4 linked regions of the Caenorhabditis elegans genome follow. The protein of the gene in region 2 interacts with the protein of the main gene of each other region in a pairwise test. Each region holds a gene or a part of one and is shown on either strand. Other genes may lie near its edges. The genes, in order: reps-1, ubql-1, ubxn-4 and png-1.

What was found.
Region 1: the proteins of ubql-1 (region 2) and reps-1 interact in a two-hybrid assay, tested with the Caenorhabditis elegans proteins (one large-scale study listed by BioGRID).
Region 3: the proteins of ubql-1 (region 2) and ubxn-4 interact in a two-hybrid assay, tested with the Caenorhabditis elegans proteins (one large-scale study listed by BioGRID).
Region 4: the proteins of ubql-1 (region 2) and png-1 interact in a two-hybrid assay, tested with the Caenorhabditis elegans proteins (one large-scale study listed by BioGRID).

Annotation. Positions count from the first base shown.
Region 1 is NC_003283.11:18,985,442-18,992,307, forward strand, and holds reps-1 (REPS (RalBP1-associated Eps domain-containing protein) homolog), read right to left. Parts: upstream 5,060-6,866; 5' UTR 4,928-5,059; coding exon 4,822-4,927; intron 3,889-4,821; coding exon 3,473-3,888; intron 3,373-3,472; coding exon 3,261-3,372; intron 2,392-3,260; coding exon 2,173-2,391; intron 2,046-2,172; coding exon 1,987-2,045; intron 1,544-1,986; coding exon 1,223-1,543; 3' UTR 533-1,222; downstream 1-532. Other genes in the region: mrps-35 (Small ribosomal subunit protein mS35 mitochondrial conserved domain-containing protein), read left to right, coding at 1-174; Y39B6A.37 (Structural protein), read left to right, coding at 5,417-5,964.
Region 2 is NC_003279.8:7,020,429-7,027,997, reverse strand, and holds the start of ubql-1 (Ubiquilin), read right to left. Parts: upstream 6,017-7,569; coding exon 5,924-6,016; intron 5,802-5,923; coding exon 5,696-5,801; intron 5,651-5,695; coding exon 5,343-5,650; intron 5,235-5,342; coding exon 5,106-5,234; intron 4,542-5,105; coding exon 4,298-4,541; intron 3,972-4,297; coding exon 3,832-3,971; intron 3,787-3,831; coding exon 3,703-3,786; intron 3,657-3,702; coding exon 3,544-3,656; intron 3,497-3,543; coding exon 3,431-3,496; intron 3,387-3,430; coding exon 3,326-3,386; coding exon of another isoform or gene 3,305-3,325; exon of another isoform or gene 3,275-3,304; intron 1-3,274. Other genes in the region: pdi-3 (Protein disulfide-isomerase), read left to right, coding at 7,211-7,441. UniProt on the Caenorhabditis elegans protein: May play a role in the ER-associated protein degradation pathway (ERAD) possibly via its interaction with ER-localized proteins ubxn-4 and cdc-48.1 and/or cdc48.2, providing a link between the polyubiquitinated ERAD substrates and the proteasome.
Region 3 is NC_003281.10:8,403,196-8,407,061, reverse strand, and holds ubxn-4 (UBX domain-containing protein 4), read left to right. Parts: upstream 1-1,639; 5' UTR 1,640-1,640; coding exon 1,641-1,851; intron 1,852-1,904; coding exon 1,905-2,430; intron 2,431-2,474; coding exon 2,475-2,582; intron 2,583-2,627; coding exon 2,628-3,102; intron 3,103-3,148; coding exon 3,149-3,238; 3' UTR 3,239-3,344; downstream 3,345-3,866. Other genes in the region: cyy-1 (Cyclin-Y), read right to left, coding at 1-81, 136-278, 324-440, 490-564, 612-696, 956-1,054; cutc-1 (Copper homeostasis protein cutC homolog), read left to right, coding at 3,455-3,771.
Region 4 is NC_003279.8:11,378,567-11,383,264, reverse strand, and holds the start of png-1 (Peptide-N(4)-(N-acetyl-beta-glucosaminyl)asparagine amidase), read right to left. Parts: upstream 3,035-4,698; 5' UTR 3,028-3,034; coding exon 2,977-3,027; intron 2,755-2,976; coding exon 2,610-2,754; intron 2,021-2,609; coding exon 1,700-2,020; intron 1,644-1,699; exon of another isoform or gene 1,573-1,643; intron 339-1,572; coding exon 116-338; intron 1-115. Other genes in the region: wbp-4 (U1-type domain-containing protein), read right to left, coding at 3,200-3,265, 3,803-4,134. UniProt on the Caenorhabditis elegans protein: Specifically deglycosylates the denatured form of N-linked glycoproteins in the cytoplasm and assists their proteasome-mediated degradation. Cleaves the beta-aspartyl-glucosamine (GlcNAc) of the glycan and the amide side chain of Asn, converting Asn to Asp.

The sequences.
Region 1 (6,866 bases), on a different chromosome or scaffold from region 2:
GAAAAAGCCAAGTTGACGCCTGGATTAAGCCCCAGCGCCGCCGGATGTGGAGATCAAAAATCGATTGACGAATTCGGAGAAATGTGGAAAGCCTATAGAAATAGCGAGGAAACTGTCGAAAAAACGCGGGAATACGGTCGTCAGATGAAGAAATTACTCGGAATTCAACAATAATTTACTGTTTTTTTTTAGTTCTGCTAAGATTATTATACATTCGTCACGAATGTGTAATAATTTTTTTTCTCGAAAATTTTTTGTTTTTTTTTTGTTATTCTAGCAGTTTTTATAATAGATCCCTCAAATTCTGTCAAAATTTGGAATTTTTTCCAAATTTTTAGCCGGATCTGTAATAATTTTTTTGTCCGAATTTTTTAGATAGTTCCCATCTTTCATGTTATTTCATTTTTTTTTGGAAAAATTTATATATATATATTTTCCAATTTTAAAAAATAGTTATTTTTAATGTGTGTAAAAATCAATACATACTTTATGATTTTTTTTTTCAAAAAAAAAAAAGAAGATAGTGTAATAGATTAAATTATCACAGAAAATAGAAAAATTGATGCTTATTTTAAAAAATTACAACATAGGTAAAAATGAAATATATATATGACATATCACAGAAATTATGAAGAAATATGCAGATTTTTTAGTTTTTTGCGGGGAATCTGGGGGAGAAATTGGTGGGAAATTCGAATTTTTGATAGAAAATAATTAAAAACTTTTTTAGAAGTTAAATTTAATTTCGGGAAATACCTTTTTCTCAGAAATTTTTGAAAATTTGCTCTAAAATGGGCAAATTTCATGTTTTTTAATGCGAAAAACCAGAAAAATCAATAAATTTTCCATAGAAATCGATAAATTTTCAGAAAAATCGATAAATTTTCAGAAAAATCAATAAATTTTCAGAAAAATCGATAAATTTTCAGAAAAATCAATAAATTTTCAGAAAAATCAATAAATTTTCAGAAAAAATAATTTTCCATAGAAATTGATACATTTCGAATTTTTTTGTTATTTTCCTAACCAAACGTAATAAATCTTTAAAAATTCTATTTTTCCAGCTAAAAATTGAGTTTTTTCCAAAAAAAAAATTTTTTCCGGAAAATTCGAAATAAAATGTGTTATTTCCTAGTTTTTCAAGCCGAAAAAAATTATTTTTTTCCTATTTTTCCTCAAAAATTCGAATTTCCCATCCATTTTTCCTCCACCGGGGATATCATTAAAGTGTAGAAGAAGAGCACGCAGTTTTGGATCTCTCTTCAAATTCCTGAATTCGTATTTCCAATTGAATCCGTACTTGAGCCAACCGTGCTCTTTCGGCTTCTAATTCCGAATTTTGAGTCCTCAAAGCTGTACAACGTTCCTTCCATCGTTCAATTCCTTGCCCATCAGTTGCCTGAATCTCTTCTCCAATTAAATCGTCGATTTGATGGCCGATTTTCGAGAAAAAGCTCTTCACATCTTCCTCAGAATAGAGTAATTCTGTAGTTTGTGTTGATGAATCTGTTGTGGTAATTCGTTTTTCCTCTTCGATGACTCTCTGCAAAAATATTGTGAATTTTTGGAGATTTTTCAGTGAAAAATTTGAAAAATTTGAAGAAAAATGGTTAAAAATGAGTATTTTTGAATTTTGGCGCTGCTAAAACTACAAACTACAAGTAAATTTTTAGCAGCCCGCCCAAGAAATTAGCAGCGCCCAAGAAATTAGCAGCGCCCAAGAAATTAGCAGCGCCCAAAAAAATAGCAGCGCCCAAAAATTAGCAGCGCCCAAAAAAATAGCAGCGCACAAAAAAATAGCCAAAAATTGTTTAAAAATCATATTTTTGTGATTTTCAACCTGTTCAGAAAATAAAAACTACACTAATTTTCGATTTTATCGCAATTTTGAAAAGTTTTTCTTAAAAATTCGTTAAAACGAATAATTTCAAACTTTGGGCGCTGCTAAGACTACAAACTACAACTAAAAGCTTTCCCTTAACTTACCGGTAGAGGTGACGGTGTGATTCTTTGTGGAATCGGCGGTGGAATACTGTCCGGGGTGGCTGAAAATTTGCGGAAATTGGGAATATTTTGATTTTTTCTCGAAAATTGAAAGCAATATATTTTTTGAAAAATTCCAGTTTTTTTAAAATTTTTTTCGAATTTCTGCCCAATTTTTCAGTCTCATACCAGGAAAAGACGCAAAAGTAGTCGTAGTCGTTGTAGTACTAATCGATTGAGCTGTCGGATCGGAATGTGATGACCAAAGTGATAGGGTAGTTGGTGGTAGCTGGGATTCCGCCGAGGCTTTTGTCTTATTCAATGCAATCAATTTCAAGTCAAGACTTGCACTTCTGTTGTGTCCACGTTGTTGTTGTTGTGGGCGGACAGGTGGAATTGGTGGGGGTCCTGAAAATATGGATTATTGATTTCGGGCGCTGCTCTTAGATTGCAAATACTACTAAATATTGAGTGTTGCGTGTTTTAATGAACTTACTTAATACTTAATACTTATTAATACTTATTTAGGTAATTAAATAACTAAGTTACTAACTACATACTTACGTAGTTAGTAATTTAATTACTAAGTTACTAATTAAGTACTTATTTAGATGATGATTAAATAAGAAAATTAGTAGTTAAAAACTCACTCTGTTACTAATTAAATACCCACTTAGTTAGTAATTAAATACTCACTTAGTAGCAATTTAATACTTCCTTAGTTACAAATTAAATAACTACGTTACTGATTAAATACTCACTTTGTTACTAATTAACACTAACAGGGTTAGTAATTAAATACTTACTTAGTTATTTAATTACTAACTAAGTCACTAATTAAATACTTCCTGAGTTATAAATTAAATAACTATGTTACTAATTAAATACTCACTAAGTTAGTAATTAAATTCGTATTGAGTTAGTAATTTCATAACTAAGTTTCTAATTAACTACTTACCAAGTTATATAATTAGCAACTCAGTAAGTATTTTAATTACTAACTAAGTCACGAATTAAAAACGTACTTAAATAGTTATTAATTAAATAATTAGTTACTTAGTCAGTATATAAATAACTATGTTACTGATTAGAAAACTAGGTTTTCTAAAACATTTGAATCGAAAACTATTGTAGTTTTTGTAGTATGACTGCTATTCAACTAGCAATTTTTCGAATAAATTATTATTAGTCAATAATTTAAACTTTTTATATTGTGTTCACACATTTGAGAAGTATAATAAACACTACAACAATTTCTTCAATGAATCCAAACTTACCCAGTGGACTCTTAAGTGCTAACAATGCAGAATGCTTGATAGCTGTTGGCCTACTGTCCACTAATAATGGCGGTGTATCCGAGAATTGTTTGATGATTGGCTGGTTTGCCCACTGGAATTGGAAAAATTCGAAATTAAAAAAAAAACGTCGTTAATGTTTTGAATGATGATACATATTCAAAAGTCAATTAAATTATTTCAAAAACCCCCACATTTTTCACTGGCCCATCAGCTTCTACATGTCCTGCACCGGCGGGACTAGGCGTCGCCGCAACTGTAGACGGAGCCCGTGGCTCTGTAAGTGGTGGCCGCGCGAAACCGGGTAGCACATCAGGAATCGGAACTTCTCCTTTCACTTTCAACACTACTAAATGCATCGCAATCGAGAATTCGTTTAAATCCAACCATCCGTCTTCATTCACATCGGCCAGCGACCAGATTTTCGATAAAGAGCTCATATCCAGCGAGCTTCTCTTGAAAAACGCTACAATTCGTTGATCGGCTCCGCAAAGGGCTCCGCAGAGGTCTGCGGCGCCTTGAGTGGTTTTTATTAAGTGACGGAAGCATTTTGTGTAGTATTCCTGCTGTTTTTCAGTGATTTTGAAGAGAGAATCCGCGTTGGAATCGGCTGAAAATTGGGGAAATTTGGATTTTTTCGAGTTTTTTAGCTTTAAAACCGAAATAATTTCGATTTTTGCAATTTTCCCTGAGAAAATGTGCTTAAAAATAGAAAAAATCGATTTTGGCGCCGCTAAACGGAAAAGCAGCGTCCAAAATTGTGTAGTTTGTAGCTTTAGCAGCGCCCAAAATTGTGTAGTTTGTAGCTTTAGCAGCGCCCAAAATCTTGTAGTTTGTAGTTTAGCAGCGCCCAAAATTGAATTAGCAGCGCCCAAACTTGTAGTTTGTAGTTTAGCAGCGCCCAAAATTGTGTAGTTTGTAGTTTAGCAGCGCCCAAAATTGTGTAGTTTGTAGTTTAGCAGCGCCCAAAATTGTGTAGTTTGTAGTTTAGCAGCGCCCAAAATTGTGTAGTTTGTAGTTTAGCAGCGACCAATATCTTGTAGTTTGTAGTTTAGCAGCGCCCAAAATTGTGTAGTTTGTAGCTTTAGCAGCGCCCAAAATTGTGTAGTTTGTAGTTTAGCAGCGCCCAAAATCTTGTAGTTTGTAGTTTAGCAGCGCCCAAAATTGTGTAGTTTGTAGTTTAGCAGCGACCAATATCTTGTAGTTTGTAGTTTAGCAGCGCCCAAAATTGAATTAGCAGCGCCTAAAATTGTGTAGTTTGTAGTCTAAGCAGCGCCCAAAAAATTCACTCAAAAACCTTCAAAAGTGGTTTTTTTAAATTAGTTTCATCTGTTTTATAGCGGAAATCTCTTCAAAAATGCGAAAAAATTTGAGAAAAATCGAAAAAGGTTATATTTTCATTAAAACTACTCATTTTTGAGGATAATTTTGCACTTTTTCCTAATTTTTCTGGATTTTTCACCGTTTTTCAGCTTAATTTCCACGTTTTTGCATCAAATTTGCCGATTTCGAGCTGAAATTCTTTATTTTTCAAAATAATCACCTGGACTCGTGTGCTTCAGACGTCTCGGACTACTAATAATATCGGCAGCGACTTTTTCAAAGTCTCCATTCGAAAAATATTGCGATTTTTTGTCGTTTTCTGTCATGGAAATTGATTTTTTCGCGGAAAAGCAAATAAAATAGTTGGTGCACGAGAAATGCGCCAGCGCACTGGAGATGCGCAAAGGGGGTTGACTGGCGCGATTCTCGTGCCGGCAAATTTATTTTTTCGTTTTGAAACGATGTTTCAGCTGAAAAACTCAATTTTCACAGATTTTTTGGGTAAAAATCAGTTTTTTAAAGCAAAAATTAATTAAAAAAGCGTTAAAATCTCCTATTCATACACCTAAAACGCTGAAAAATATCCATTTCCTAGTTGTATAATTTGTTTTTCAGTTTTAAAGTGGTTTTTCATGGATTTCGGGGTTTTTACGGGTGAAAACTATCAAATATCGGCAAGATTCAACCGATTTTCGAGCTAAATCTGAAATTTTTGCGAAAAATAATGAAATTCAGCCGGAAAATCGTATTTTTAAGGTTTTTTTTGCCCCAAAATTCGATTTTAACAGCATAACAATTATTTTTTCCAGGTTCTGATGCCCCAATCGTCCGAAATCCCGCAGATTCCTGAAAAAGCCCGAAATCTCACAAAAAGAGAGCTGAAAACGCTGAAAAATGCGCTCGGGAAGCAAGGATTAACGATGGAACAGCACGAAAATGCTCAAAAATCCACAAAACCCTGCGAAATCCTTCAAATCGACACTTTTTCGATTGATAATTCGAATTTAGAAGACGGCTGGTACGTTGGATATGGCGTCGAGTACAATGGCGTCGGAATTTCGGCCGCCGGGGGGGCTCCAGACAGCTCGGCGAGCAGTGAATCCGGTGATCTACCGCCGGCTGAAAATCGAGAAGCCGGCGGCGGGGAAAGCAGCGGATTCGATTCGGATCCACCGACTGATGATGATGATGATGAAGCACCGCAAGAGCTGCTGGAACGGCGAGAAAGTGATGATATTAGTGATAAAGGACAGCTTTTGTATGGATTGGACAGTGAATTTTATGTTGATAAGGCGCTGAAACCCACAAATGTCGAATTTCACGATAAAAATGACACGAAAAGCTTCAAAACTGGCGAATTTGTGTAAGTTTCGAGGAATTGAGCCCCACGTGGAAACTACAAACTACAAGTTTTGGGCGCTGCTCAAGCGATTTCCGCTGAAAAATCATAAAAATTCCCAAATTTTAACGAATTAAACAGAAAATTCCGTCGAAAAATGCGAAAAAACCGGCAATTTTGGTTAATTTTGAGCGAAAATGTGATTTTGGGCGCTGCTAAACTACAAACTACAAGTTTTGGGCGCTGCTAATTCAATTTTGGGCGCTGCTTAGAATACAAACTACAAGTTTTGGGCGCTGCTTAGACTACAAACTACAAGTTTTGGGCGCTGCTAACACTACAAACTACAAATTTTGGGCGCTGCTTAGACTACAAACTACAAGTTTTGGGCGCTGCTAATTCAATTTTGGGCGCTGCTTAGACTACAAACTACAAGTTTTGGGCGCTGCTAAACTACAAACTACAACTTTTGGGCGCTGCTAATTCAATTTTACGCGCTGCTAAACTACAAACTACAAGTTTTGGGCGCTGCTAACACTACAAACTACAACTTTTGGGCGCTGCTAATTCAATTTTGGGCGCTGCTAAACTACAAACTACAACTTTTGGGCGCTGCTAATTCAATTTTACGCGCTGCTAAACTACAAACTACAAGTTTTGGGCGCTGCTAACACTACAAACTACAACTTTTGGGCGCTGCTAATTCAATTTTGGGCGCTGCTAAACTACAAACTACAACTTTTGGGCGCTGCTAATTCAATTTTGGGCGCTGCTTAGACTACAAACTACAAGTTTTGGGCGCTGCTTAGACTACAAATTACAAGTTTTGGGCGCTGCTAACACTACAAACTACAAATTTTGGGCGCTGCTAAACTACAAACTACAACTTTTGGGCGCTGCTTAGACTACAAACTACAAGTTTTGGG
Region 2 (7,569 bases):
AAACTCAATTATTGTTGTGCTAGAGGCTCAATTCCAAATCCATCCATCTTTGTATTTGGAAGGCAATCATTCCAAAATCTATTCCCAAGAAACAAAAAATATGGTCTATAGGAGAGCGGAGCACTTGATTGAAATGATGCACATACATACCCACACAGACACAAATTAACATTTCCTCTGAGAATAGGCAATTTTGAAAACATGAGGGAAATGCACATAGCATGCGTAGAGCTGCTTCTTAATTGTTCATTACATATTACGAGTCAGTGCTACGATGTTTATCTTCTAAAAACGCATTTTGCTTGTCATGTTTCGAAACAAATGAGTGCGCGAACAACGAGTATCTGTGCATTTATATCTATGAGTGTGTTGTTCTCAATAATAACAGAGACAGGAAGAGGAGCAGTTGGACGAATCGACGCGTCATATGTGTTTTTGCATGGGACCCCTCTTGTTCTTCTTCCTATTGTGACCAGCACTACCGCATCTTTCCGTTCATTCGATTTATGCATTACACCATACTTTGACGAGTTCGACAACATGCATTAAGTGATACAACGTGTCCTCCACTCTCTACACATGTCCCTACAATTCCATCAACATACTAATTAATGAGAAGAAATGATTGGACTATGTTTCGGATTTAGCTATCGTAATTTTAAGGGAACTACTTTAAAGGAGAAACAATTTTAGATATTTGAATTTATTGTTTATCCTTAATGCAAAAATCAAGGTTTCAATATGATCTGAGCAAGAGAAGCGATGTTCTACTATAAAATAACTATATCACAGGTTTGATACAGGTGTTCGAAAGAACTGTTTCCCATGCAACCAGCCATCTGTCTATTGTAAGAACAAGAAAACCAATCGAATGCCTATTCAAAAGACACTAAGTGTTTTGCCACTGAACAGATCATCCCATCGTTTCGGACGTCGGCTCCTAATAGACTCCACTACTAATCACTTCGAATATCATTTGCATCGGCTCATCTTAACAAAAAAGGCGGGAAACGAGAAGACCGGAAGATGTTCGCCAGCTGCCTCTTTATGAAATGAAATACGTGTATGGCACGGCGCGTGTTCCACACAATCGCCGATTAGACAATTGTTGAATGAATAAAAGGGGAACGTCGCCGTCCTTTTTCCTATCTGCTCTCATCATGCGCACCAACCTCGCGCACTATTCCATTACACAATATTCCTGGAGACACATCGTTTACTATGATCTATGCAAATGTCGTCAAAACAATCATCTAATGAGACAAAAGCTGCAGCAGCAGTTATAACAAAAAGGGGGAGAACAAATGTTGTGGCCAATTGCTTGAAACATACGGGATAAATTTGATAGCAGCGTAACCGCTTACAAGATGAGATTATAGTGACATCCGATCCGTGGAATGTGTGTGTGTGTGTGTGTGCAAATACGTCGTCGCGCATCCTAAATATGCCACAAAACATGTGCTCCTAACAATTGCGGGAAGCAAAAAGAGCAACACTGATTTGCTTATTAAAGGGGCCGAAGAAAAAAGAAATATAGATCAGATATCGTAGTAAAACTTCTCGAAAAATCAAGTTTCCTAATTTGCAGTCGAAATTGGCAACTACCTAGATACCACCTATTTTAATTTTGGAATTCGACCGAAAATAGGCAATTATTCAAGTATTATAATTTAATTTTTTGTATTAAAACATTTTAGGGTGTCGAACATGGAATAATGCTCTAAACTTTACAAAAAGCTCAACTTTCCGAAAATTTGGCATTGTGCGTACAAATAACCCCTAATGTAGTGAAGATCACATCTACTAAAATTGAAGGTTCTGTGATAAGAAAGTTTCCTTTCAGCTTTTGTGTTGCCCTCTCATCCCAAAAAAGATCTGATTATTGAACATAGTTTTTTTTGCTGTGAAATGTGTAATATTTATGTGAAGAGACGAGCCTTTGTCGATCAACGTTTTTATGTGCGCCTACTAATATCATTTTATGTGGGCAATGCACATACATACACACACTCATCCACGTTTTGGTATTGAACAAAATTAATCGAAAATGTAAAATGACATATAACATGTATGTGCCAACAATGTGTTGTGTGATGCGAGAGCATTCGGTCCAGTAGTGCAACGTCGACGAAAATTAAAAAATCTGATCTATTCGTATGGATAAGATGCCCGCCTTTCACACTTCCTATGTCAAGTGATGAAAACGAAAAATGCAGAAATTATTGCTTTTGTTTCCAATTCAAATTGTTTCGTCTAACAATCATCAAAAATTAAAAGACAAGGAAATGAGGGGCCTTCCTCTTTCACTGGGGGAACTCATGATAAATCTCCCACACTTCTCTTTTCTAAGAGTATATTCTGTCTGTAGAAAGGGCCGAGACATCAGAATTTCGAAACAATTTTAGATACGCCACCGGGGTCTAAATGAAATTCGATATGATAATTGCATTTTCTGAGCAAACAGGAAAAGATTTTCGATCGTGCACGCTGTCATCAGTTTGCCATCGTCTTCGTCACTTTATACTCATTATCTAACATTTATCCATAGCATGTCAAACGAGCCGACTTTTGCTTCTGCTCAGCGACGACGGCACAGAAGAAGCAGAAGACGGAGCATCGTCTTGTTACATTATTCAGAACAGACACACGATGACTTCTTCTTTCTTGCTCGCGCACTTCCGTCGCTGTCACAGAGCAAACGGCGACTCGGCGCAACTCATCAGCTTCTAAATTTGAGCAAAAACTTTGATATATGAAATGAAGGGGGAACTTCATTTGATGTGAGGCTTCAACTAATCATCCAAATTTTCATTTCAATTTGGAAAATTCAAAAGACCACGGAATCGAGAGGGAAGTATAAAAAAAACTATACTATGGGAAATTATTGGATTCGGTGATATTATTCTAAATCGATCTGTCGATTGAATTAGAAAGGAAAGCTTAAAATAGTTCAATTAGCTGAAAAAGTTCTTTGAACCCATGATGTTTCAATAACTATCATACAGACAATAGAAAGTTTTGGCAATTGCCGATTAAAAAAATTTTACCACTTCGATAAATTCACAATCCAAAAATAGGCTATTGTCGAGTTTTCAAATTTTGCAATGAATAAAAAATAAGAAAAACTGATTTCTACAGTAGTAATGCTTTTTTTTTAGCTTTTTAAATAGAAATTTTCTCTTTTTCAGTTCATAAAATCTTATTATCTCGTTATTTCACTCTGAATATTTTTTTTTCTAGACAATTCGAGAAGGCCGAACTTGAAAATAATCACCTCTGCTCCCATAAGAAGTGACATAAGAAATCAAATATTCAATATACTCACTCTTCCTCCTCCCATATTCATTGAATTGAATAAATCGGCAAGTCCGTTTGCAGAGTTTGCTCTGAAATGAGAAAAAACTATCAGCTATAAAAACTATCAACGAACCCAGCAGAAGATGCATTGGCATCAGAACCGAATGCTCCACCTCCCATTGCTCCAGCTTGGAAAAGGCTAAAATAATTTTAAATAGTTTTTGACTAAATGGTATTTTCAAATACTTCAAAAGTTGAGGTGCTTCTCTGCGAAGAGTTGAAAATCCCTCTTGAATTTGACGGAATGCTTCACTGACCCGTGGGTTTCTCATTGCCTCCATCACAGATGGATCAGACATCTGAAATTTTGAAATATAAATTTTTGTAAAAATTTAGAAAATAAACCATGTTGAGCATTTGTGGAAAACTTCTACGAATTCCTTCGGAAATCTGTGGGTTATCACGAGCCGATGGAATTTGTCCAACAATCTGAACTTACATAATTATTTTAAATTTTTTAAAAATGAAACTAACGGAATCAATGAGTCCAGGATTGTTTGACATATTTTGACGAATTGAATTGATGACTTCTGGGCTGAACATACTGGCCTGCATACTTGGATTGGACATCATCTGCTCCATTAGGGAGCTGATGCCAGGTGAATCAAGCAATGCTGAATATGAATTAAAACATTATTAACGGATCACTAAACTATGAGGATATTCGTGACGTTTAAATATTTTGTTTAAAATTATAATAAATGGTGGGCGGCAGACGTAAAATTGGGCGAATTGGAAATTTGTCGTTTTGAAATTTTTGTTGGAAATTTTTTAAGGAAAATGTTCAAAAATACATTGCTGAAAATCTTTTTTCACATTTACAATTTTTTAATTTTTTCGGCAAATTGATATTTGGCATTTGCCACTCGTCATTGATTATTATATGATTTTAATGTAAGATTTTTTTTTACTTAGAGAAATTTGACTCAGAAAAACTTACAATTAAAGTCAGCAGAACGATTATTCGATTGATTATTGGTAGCTTGATTGGCGTTTGAAGCCCATGGATTTGGCAGAGCTTCATTATTTTCTTGTCCAGCACGATCGACACGTGGCTCACTGCTCTGATCACCTCTTAGAGAAGCAAATGGATTTCCACTGAGCGAATTTGTTGCACTATTGAGCAAGGGCTCCTGTACATCATTGTACAACCGTTCAAGAGCAGCTTCTCCTCCGGGAATTCCCTGAAAATTGAATGTTTCAACATAAAATAACAAATCCAACCGAAAAAAAGGAAAATCTGTTGAAATTGGAATTCAAGACAAAAACCCCTGTAGCGCGGCTGGGATGGAATATATAGTTTCCAGAAATGTACCCCTGATATTAAAAAAAAATTAGCAATTTTTTGCCATATCAATTAAAATAACAATTAATTACTTTTAATAGTCATATTTAGACATTTAGATCGGCATCCTTGATCGATTTTTTAAAACTAAAACTGAAAAATCAGAATTTTTCGTTTTTCGATTTTAGAGAGAAAAAACCGACTTTTTCAATTTTTAAAAAATGGTATTAAATTTTGGTAATTTTTCTTTTTTTTAGACAATTGTTAGATAACATTAAAATGTCTTCGTATGTTTTTTGTCACCAACATATATGACACAAGTTGTGTGTCACACAACTTGATAAAAATCAAATTTTATTGATAATTTTCTGGACTTTTTTTCTTCGATGTTTCGATTTTCGCTGAAAACATTGAAAAATTGAAAAATGGCATCCCTTGATCAGCATAGCTATATATAATGTACCTGAAGATTCCTAATAGCTTGATCATGATTCCGCATCATTTCTTGGAACATATTTGGATTACGAATCATCTCCATAGTTTGACGCATTACATTCGGATCGTTGAGAATGTGTCCAACTTCTGGATTTCTCTGAAAATATTTATTGTCGATATACGAGAGAAATGTGGAAGATTAAAAAATTAAATAATTTTTCGAATCCGAAAATTTACAAAACAAATATCCAGGAAAAACTCGAACCTCAATCAATGCTTGGAATTGTGGGTTGGATTGAATAATTGTTCTCATAAACTCTGGATTTCCTAGAAGTTGTTGTGTAATTGGATTATCCATAACTGAACGCATAGCATCTGGATTGTTTAAAATATCAGCAGGTGATCCCATTCCTCCCATTGCTGCAAATGGATTATTGGTAGGATTCGGTTGTGAAGAAGGTGTTGGATTGGAACTTGGTGCAGATGAAGCTGTTGGTGTTGCAGCAGCCGGCGCTGGTGTTGGACGGGCTTGATTTCTAATAACCAAGTGGACGGTGTGACCATCAGCGATTTCTAAATTTTTGTTTATTATTTTTTGGAACACATTTTTCAACTTACTGTGCTGTGTGAGAGTTTCTTCATCCTTCAGAATTTTTCCGGTGTAAATTATACAAACTTGTTCTTTGTTCGCAGTTGGAACGAACACAAGAACCTTGTCTTTTAGCTGTAAAATATTAATTAAACACTGTGATTTACACATTTAATTTATCAAAATGGAATAATCACTTGAATTTTTATCTAATTCTCAAGAGCAAAATTTTATTTTTTAAATAAAATATAACATACTTCTGAAACTGATGCATCCGCAGCAATCTCAACGTCATACTTGTTCGACGGTGATTTCACGTGAACTTTGATGAGTGCACTCTCTGTAGCCATCTTAAATTTGAGAAATATTAAAAAACCGACAAAATTAAATAAAGAAAAAGGATTGAGAGAATGAGAGGCGGAGACGGAAAAGAACACGTTGCATCGATAAATCGAGAATATTCTCGAAGCGCAAAAAGAAATTTCGCAACTATTTCAGACCGAATAATGTAATAATGTAATGGGTCTCTTCGATAGAAAATAAACGAAGATAAACGAAGACACAATTCTTCCTGACGCGCGAGCTTCAATATGCACGTGATGACTAATTTGGTTTCCATGGTGATCTTTTTGTTCCTTTTATCGATTCAAATTTACAATAAAAATAAGAAATTAAAGTTCTAAATGGCGCTCCAATCAATTTGCCTTCCAATTTAACGTCGATTCCTTCTATATCAGGTCATAAAATGAATAAAAAACAATGATCAATAAAATGATGCGGTAGTTGCGTAAATCGACACATGATGGTCGCCTCTTCCGTGCGAGACCCATTGGGCGGAGTTCTCACAAGAATGAGGCCAATCGGCACACAACACGCGTGCGACAGGCAGTGAACGACGTGTTTTTGGCTCAGTTCCTACCAATCCCTGGTGTACACACGAGCGCCACGTGGACCTTAACAATTCGGGTCTATTTTTATGCTTCTGCTCTGCATTTTCTGGATTATTAGTAATAATATCATTAAAAGTGATATAACGCTCCCCGAGTCTATATAAAATTTCTCCTCCATACAACACATGTTTTTTGGCTTTCTTCTTCTAAGCTTAAAATTTATAGTTATTTACTAACTGTATTTTCCACTTATTAAAGATAATTTTTGAAAAGTGTTTGTAAATACTTAAAATTGAACCCGAAACAATCTGTATTTGTCCATTCACATGTGATTCACAGAAAAGAATGAAAATAAATGCGAAAAAAAAATAAATAAAGTAAAGGCGCATTGATTTTACCGCTCGCGGTATCTCGCCACGAAAACACGTTTCGCGTCAAGCGGCTCACGTTTTCGATGCGATCGCGGTTTGTTAATTGCGAAAACACCTTCCCTTCTCTTCAATCGTTCGCTCAATTTCTAGAAAATATTTCTGAATAATCTGAAAACCTCTAATCTTGTTTCTTAGTTTTTAACTTTTTGTCGGTGTTCCCGATAATCTCTCGCCCTCTAAACTCACTCGATCGATTGTCGTTTATAGGTAAAGTTTTTAGGTAATGATTTGGGTCCAGGCAGCTTTGGTCGCCTCCTTCCTGGCGTTCGCCAGTGCTGGAGGAGCCGTTCTCGAGTATACCGACGGAAACTTCGATGATCTCATCCAAACCCACGACATTGCTCTTGTCAAGTTCTACGCTCCCTGGTGCGGACACTGCAAGAAAATTGCCCCAGAGTATGAGAGAGCTGCCCCAAAACTCGCATCTAACGATCCACCAGTCGCTCTCGTCAAGGTAAGATAACCATACTTATTTACACAGCCATCGCTCATATATCGATCGCAGTGACACTGACAAATACGCGAAAGCTGATAAAACAGCAACGAAAGCCACATTGAATAGAAATATATGAAATGCATACA
Region 3 (3,866 bases), on a different chromosome or scaffold from region 2:
ACTAAACAGATTTCTGACAAACCGATAAATATTCCGATGATCAGGATCCCGTGTCATTTGCTCTGGAGGTATAGGATCTCTCTGAAAAATCTTCGAAAAATGTATGGAACTTATGGATTGATTGATAAAACTTACGAAAATCGGATGAAGTCGTTCTTCGAAAATCTCCATTAGTCGCTCGTGTCCACGATTTTTACGATTTGAAATATGATAATATATTGCAAGAGAAATGCATTTTATTGTATTCTTAAGATGAGGTTGACTGACTGTTGAATCATCTAAAATTTGAGAAATCAGAGAATGTTTATGAAATCTTTAATTACCAATATAAATAGTACTGCAGCTGCTTGATTTACGCAGGCTTCTGGGTAAAATTCCGGGATGATGACCACCAGCTGCCAATGCATCCAACATATAACATGAACGACGATTGTCTTTTACTGGAATTGATAAGAATAGATTCAAGGATTAGAAGAAAAAGAATTTTACATTTCATTTCACTTTTACTTCGTTCCATAAATGTTGGCCGAGCTGTTGGATTCGTTGATGGATCTTCCTCGTATCCTTAAAAAATATGAATTTAAAAATATATACTTCAGTGATATAATTACCTTCTGTTACCTCTCGTTCACTTATGTGAGGAAGGAAGTTTGTCGATGTTTCATCACGAGGGAACACTTGATTGACATACTGGAACTGAATTTTAAATTTAGGTTTTTGTAGAAAGAGGTTTTCGAATATTTTTACCTTTAAAATATAATTTTAAATAATCTTGTACTCGTGAAGCTTATTAAAGCCCTTTAAACCAAATTTGTGTAAATAAAAAATATTATTCTCTTCGAAATGTATATTTTCAGAGCTTTATAGTTTTTTTTTAAATTAAAAACAATTATTCCAACAATCGATATCAAAGTTTCCATTTATGCAAACTTTTTCAAAAAATAACTTTGTATACCTCCACTTGATTAGTTCTAATATACTGTCCATCATTATTATACGATTTGTCCTCTCCGCTCGACGACCTCGTTCGCAGACAACACGATGAATTTCCCATCACCTGTAAACAATTATTGGTTTAAATTCAAAGTTTCAAAGACAATGTTACTAATTTCAACTTACGGAACACGTTTAATCTCCAAAAACCAAAATTATCGCATTAGGAGTGACTAGAAACTTGGGAAGCGAGTCCTGCAAATTAATGGAAAATCGATAAAGTGTGGGGAACGGAGCACAAGAAAAAATCTGTCTAGTAATGTTTATTCAATTGTTAATTGATAAATTGTTTGCAAATTAAATATAAAACAAATATTTTCTATGAGAAAAGCGAAGAAAAACAGAGAAAAATCCATTTCTTCAATGTAAAAATCGCAGAGAGCGGTGGTGGGCGGAGTTTATGGCAGGAGGCGGAGTCGGAATGCAACCCCCGCACGGTTTCTTCTCTCCACGAATTATTCGACGTCTTTTTATTTTTATAAATTTTTTAGCCACTTTTTTATTTATTTTGCTGGAATAAATCAATTAAGAACGCTTTCTGTAGAAAATTTTAGGTTATTTTATCTCAATAACTAAATGTTTACTCTTCGATTTCTGAAAATCGTATCTTTTCACATGAATCGATAAGTTATATTAAAATTTACAGAATGCAGTGGTTTGGTGGCAACGTAGCGACTGCGATTCAAATTTCCCGTAAGAACAAAGCTCTTCTCATTGTATATATCACCACGGATTCGGAAGATGGCCAGATTTTCGATGGGTTTTGGCAACATATCGATTCGTCAAATCTTTTATGCGCAGTAGTGGGAATAAAACTGAAAGCTGGTGAAACTTCTGCCCAGCAGTTTGCTGATATTTGTAAGTTGGAATGTTTAAATTATAGCAGTTCAGCCAAAATGTTATCTTTTTAGATCCTACACCAATTCTGCCAGCAGCATATCTAATCGATCAAAATGGAAAACCTTTGGAAGTCATCACTCCGCTCGTTGGAAAAACATATGACCAGTTCCGAGCCAAATTTGATAAAGCTACTGCTCAATTCGTCAATGGGATGCCAACAGCAGCTGCAAATCAACTTTCAACACCTAGTCCTTCTCCCGCCCCTGTCCAAGTACCAGCGTCAACGGATGCCCCAATCCCAGCCCCAACACCTGTTACAGCACCAATTCAATCTTCATCAACTTCTCAGGAAATGACTCGTGAACTTGCAGAGAAGGTAGCAAGAGCTAAAGCTCTTCTAGAGCAAAAAAAGCAAAAAGATGCTGAAAAGAAGCGAGAGGCCGACAAACATGTAAAGGAAGAAATGACAAAAGCACGCGAAGCAAAACAGGAAAGAGATGCTGAAGCGTTGGTCAAAGCAGCGAAACAGAGGAAGATGGAAAAATTGGCAGCCGAAAGTGATAAGAAACGAATTTTGGCCCAAATTAAAGCTGATCGGTAAGATTTTAATTTAGTGTTTCTAAAATATAAATATTTTTCAGCGAAGCTGCTCAGAAAAAGTTCGGGAAACTTGTGAACACTGAAAACGCTTCGGAGAATACTGAAAAGAAACAAGAAACCACTGTTGGAAAGGCTGTGCCATCAGACAGGTTAGAAAATTAATTGATAACTGATAATTTATGAATTTATTGTAGGTGTCGTCTACAAGTTCGACTTCCTGATGGTTCTACTTTTGTAGAAGAATTTCCTTCAAATGATGTTCTCAATTCTCTCGTAGAGATCATTCGTCAAAAGCCCTCTATTGCTGGAACTACTTTTGAAATTCAGCAACCGTATCCACGCCGCATATTTACAAATGATGACTATTCGAAAACATTCCTCGAGAATCAATTAACACCCTCTACCGCACTTGTCGTAATTCAAAAATCGTCGGGTTCCTCTTCAAATTATGGATCTTTCTCGCTCAGTACTCAAACCGTATCCTTTGTAACATGGGTTTTATACCCACTCACTGCTTTTTGGAATATTTTCTGTGGTATGATTGGCTGGAATTCTACCGGAAAACAACAAGACTCGAAATCTAAGAAAAACGATGGGCCATCTACATCGGGTCAATCAGGATCACAACCACAAAGACGCGGGATGCCAAGGAGTGCGGAAGTTCGTCGGGTTTGTGTGCATTGTTATTTTCTTTCCATAATGAAATTATTTTCAGCGTGGAAACGTCGCAGGGCTTGAAAATCCGAATGAAGACGATCCTGAAGAGCGAGCCAGTTTCAATGGAAATTCTACTCAGTTCATGTAATAATGTAAATTTCTTGTCGCCTGTGATTCCAACACCAAAAGTTCATCGCCATGGATAATTTATTTTTTGCTCGTTTATAATTCGAATCGAATAAAAGTTTTCATTTATCCCAGATATGTTCAGTTTTCTTGCTGAGTTTTCGGATTTTAAACCATAACTTTATACCTATTCTTTACAATGTTAAAAACATATTTTCTCAAACTCTATTGTGTTAAGATGACAGAAACAGAATCCCAGAAGCAAATAAAACTGGAAATATGCATCGATAATCTGGAATCTGCGGAAAATGCTGTTGCCGGTGGAGCTGATCGATTGGAAGTTTGCTCAGCTTTACAACTCGGAGGGCTCACTCCATCCGTCGGATTTGTGTCTATTCTGAGCTACAAGTATCCCGATATTCCACTTTATTGTATGATTCGCCAACGGGCAGGCGATTTTGTGTATAATGAAGACGAAATGGCAGCGAATATGGAAGACGTTGAATGGCTCAAAAAAGCTGGTGCCACAGGATTCGTTTTTGGAGCATTAACATCGTAAGTCGGAGAGTTTTAAATTGAATGAAACAAATAAATATATTATAATTTTATTTCCAACATGTTTAAATGAAAAAAGAAAAACATATTCTTGT
Region 4 (4,698 bases), 4.4 Mb from region 2:
TATTTTTGGGATTTTCAAAATCCAATCGATAGGGAATTTCATGGGCTATCCTATGGATCGCCTAACTTTCGCAAATTTGCAATTTTTTTAGGCCACATTTTTCTAGGCTTCACACCTCGTCTGCAACAATTTCGCCGGATTATTATATCTCGGGAATCGCATTTCCGTATTACATCCATCACAAATGTAAACTTCAACACGTGAGGCTCCGCCCTCTTTTTGCTCTTCCCGAGTTGGAGTCCCTTGGAGCCCGTCGGTTGAGCATTTTAGGGTGCATTTGGGACATGTTGGACGGTCGAACCAAGTGAAAAATTGAGTTTTAAACCAGTGGAGAAGGTCTGAAAAATTGAAAAATTAGTTAAAACCCGCGCGAAAATTGAGTTTTTAAAGTCATGGCCTAACTTTTCAATTGGTGGCCTAGAAATCCAAAACTAGGCTATAAAGTGAATATATCAAATTATAGGCTTACTAGGCTTTCGCTGACATCAGATCATTTTTCAGAATTGAAAAATGTGAATTTTCCGCCGAGTTACGGCGATTTTAAGTTGGTGGCCGAGGATTTTCCTAGGCCACTAGTTTAAAAACATGTTAAATTGTCTTAAAATTTTTATTTTTGTATGGCGCAGAATTAGATTTGACATAAAGTATTGGAATTTACTGTAAAATAAGCGAAAATTTACGTCTTAAACTGATGGCCTAACTTTTTATTTGGTGGCCTAGAAATCCAAAACTAGGCCACGCACTCAATATATCAAATTATCGGCTTTTGTTGATATCAAATAACTTTTCAGAATTCAAAAATTCCAATTTTCAGCCGAGTTACTGTAAATTTAAGTTGGTGGCCTAGGAAACTCCTCGGCCACCAACTTAAAATCAACGTAACTTGATGGAAAATCGATATTTTCAAATGAAACATAATCCAAATGATGGGTGTTATCGAAGTTCGATGAAAATTTGGCGAAAAATCGACTTTTTATATTCGTGGCCTAACTTTTTCCGGCGGTGGCCTAGAAATCTAAACCGAGGAAACACTGAATGTATCAAATTTGTATGTTTGATTGACTCGTGCTGATGTCAAATCACTTTTCAGAATTGAAAAAAGTGAATTTTCCGCCAAGTTACGGTGAATTAAGGTTGGTGGCCTAGGAGTTTCCTAGGCCACCAACCAAAAAACGCTGTAACTCGGTGGAAAATCGATATTCTTAAATGAAATAAAATCAAACTGGTACAGGAAGTACAGGAATTCCGCAAAAAATCGACTTTTCAATGTTATGGCCTAACTTTTTCTGGCGGTGGCCTAGAAACCCAAACCTAGGCCATGTACTGAAAGTATTAATTTTATCTTTCCTTTCTTCTTTTTCAACTCGTGCTGATATCACAAAATTATTCAGAATTCAAAAATTCCAATTTTTCGCCGAGTCACGGTGAATTGAAGTTGGTGGCCTAGGAAAATCCTCGGCCACGAACTTAAAAACGCTGTAACTTCGCGGAAAATTGATATTTTCAAATGGACTAAAAACCAAAAGCCATCCGATAGGAAATTTCGAAGTCTATCTGAAGTTTGAGGTAGTGTGGCCTAGGTTTGGATTTCTAGGCCACAAACTAAAAATCGGCTATAACTCGGCTGAAAATCAACATTTTCGCGATCCGAAAAAACCAATCGATAGGGAATTCGATTTTCTCGATTTTCTTCTTGCACCTTTCAAAATCGCCTTCTCATCCCTCGGCCCCTCGGTCATGGCTCTTCCCACCAGCTCCTCAGGCATAACACTTCTCGCCAGAGCCTTGAACACCTCATCCTGATAGCTTCTCGGTACGTTCGAACATTTGACAAATTGCTCCAAAAATCGCTTTTCCGAGTCAGAAGCCGCGTTGGGATTTGCCGGAGTTGGCGAATAGTGTTGCCGAATTTTTTCGGCAATTGCCTGCTGATTGGCTCCGCGGACCATGTCGACTTGCTGGCGATTTTTCAAAAAAATGAATGTCGGCATTGCGGAGATGTTGTACCGCTGGACAATGTCTGAAAAAACGCAAAAATCGATTGGTGGCCTAGTTTTTCAGTTGGTGGCCTAGAAAAAACTAGGCCACCGATTTATCAGACTAAAGAGTTGAGTTTTTAATTTCCTATCGATTACTTTTTGTTGCATTCAAAAATATTGATTTTCCGGCGATTTATGGCGGTTTTAAGTTGGTGGCCTAGAAACCTTCTAGGATTTTTCTAGGCCACCAATATAAAATAGCTGTAACTTGACGAAAAATCAATATTTTTGAATTTTCAAAGAAAAGTATTCGAGCATTAGCAAATTTTTTAAAGCTTTTAGAAAACATACAAAAACGCCTTCAAAAAAATTTTCGTGGTGGGACCCAGAAATTTTTCCGAATTTTTTTTAATTTCAAAATCGTCCAAACCTAGGCATGATGGGTGTCAACTGAAAGGTCTCGGCGAGCTGAACACGAACATTATAAATTTAGGGCCTAGTTTTCAACTTGGCGGCCTAGAAATTGGAAAAACGAGGCCACCACCAACTTAAAATCGTCGTAACTCGCGGCGGAAAATCGACATTTTTGAATCCGAAAAAACAAGATTTCGTGGCGGGACCCATTTTTACCTCTTGCCACGTCACAATTGACCTTTAAAAACGTGGCATTTCCGTATTCCGCGGAAAATTGCTCGAAAATCGGAGAAATCATACGGCACGGGCCACACCAATTAGCGAAAAAATCGATAATTATGAGACGATTCGCATCGGAACGCTGGAAATTGGAAATTAAAAAAATTAAAAATTAAAAATTTTTTTGCAGAATTTTATTGATTTTTTTTCAGAATTTTTTCGATTTTTTTTCAGAAATTTATCGATATTTTTTCAAAACTTTATTGATTTTTTTACAGAATTTTCATCGATTTTTTTCTAAAATTTTATTGACTTTTTAAAATAAAATTTTATTGATTTTTTCAAAGAAAAATGTCCTGCTCACCTCCAAAATATTATTGAGCTCTGGCAGTGAGCCAACTTCCGTTACCGGCATTTTTCGACTGAAAAATAAATTTTTAGCCAATTTTTTGCGCTAAAAACTTGAAAAAGGTATAATTGACATATTTACAAGTGACCAAATAAACTTTAAAAAAAAAGTTTTCTCGAAAAATCAATAATGTATTCAGATATTACAGGGAATAAGTGACAAGAAAAAAAAAATTAAATTATTCCTCTCGTTTTCGAATATTCCGATTTGCTGTCTTTTTCTTGAATTCGATCGGTCCTTTTACCTGAAAAAAGGGAATTTTTTTAGTGAGAAAAAAATCTAATGAAAAATCGTCGAATTATTACTTTTCCAGCGGGAAAAATATTGTTTTTTCGTGATTTTCCAAAAAAAATTTTTTCAGAATTTTATCGATTTTTTTGCCTAGAATTTTATTAATTCAAAAAACATAATTTTGTCGATTTTTCAGTAAATTATCAATTTTTTTCGGGAAAATATCGATTTTTCTGATAATTTTAACGATTTTTTTAGTAAAAAAATTTTCTTTTTCAACTAAAAAAAGTTTTAAAGGAAATTTTATTCGTTTCCAAAATGAAAATTTTAAATTTTTAAATTTTTCCGGCTCAAAAAAACCAATTTTCAGTGATTTTCAACCTTATGAAGCTCAAAAAGCTTTTCAGCTCCAAATTTTCAAGGAGAAGCTCAATTTCAGACGTTTCTTCATGGTATTTTCAAGCTTTTCCGTCTTAAAAAAAGCCTATTTTTATCGTTTTCCAAGAAGCTTTTTAGCTCCAAATTTCGAGGAGATGCTCAATTTCAGCACCTTTTTCGTCATAACACTGGCAGTTTTTTCTCCAAATTCAAATTTCGGTTCTTCTTGTCTCTTTTTCTCTTCTTCCTCCTTCCGTTCTTCTTCTTCTTCACGGAATCGTGCAGTTAGTGGAGATTCGAATATTTCCGTCGTTTTTTCACTTTTTTCGACACGTTGCCATGCTCCAAATGGTGCTCCAGGTGTTGTTGGAATTGATGGTTTTGGGGGCTCAATGAGCCCAATTTCTGGGATTTTTGGGGGCTCTTCAAGCTGCTCTTGGAGCTCCTCGGGAGGCGGAGTTGATGAGTGCTCGCGGAGCACCAGGGCTTCACGTTCTGGTGTTCCTGGAACAATTGAATTTTTTAAAGAATTTTATCGATTTTTAAAAGAATTTTTATCCAAAAAAATACAACTTTTGCCGAAAATTTCACGGTTTTTATGGGATTTTTGCGTGTTTTTTTCTAATTTTTTCGCATTTTCAGTCCGTAATTCGTAGGTTTTTTTTTGGTAATTTTCCAGCCAAAATTCAGCGTTTTATAGCGATTTTTTTGTAGAATTTCTGTCTAAAATATGCAATTTCCAGCCAAATTTCGGCGTTTTTCATCAAATTTTCATGATTTCTCGGGTTTTTTTCAGTCATTATTCGAGCTTTTCTTGTAGAATTTGAATTTTATCGATTTTTCCAAAATGTTTTCACATTTTCTGCCCAAAATTCAGCGTTTTAAAGCGATTTTTTGGTGAAATTTCAACCAAAAATGTGCAATTTTAAGCCAAAATTCAATTTCATCGAAGTTTTGCAATTTTTAGGGCTTTTTCATCGATTTTTCATCGATTTTTGGTCTTTTTCAAATTTTTATTGGTTTTTTTTTTTGAAATTCTACCGATTTTTGCAGAATTTTCACCTCAAA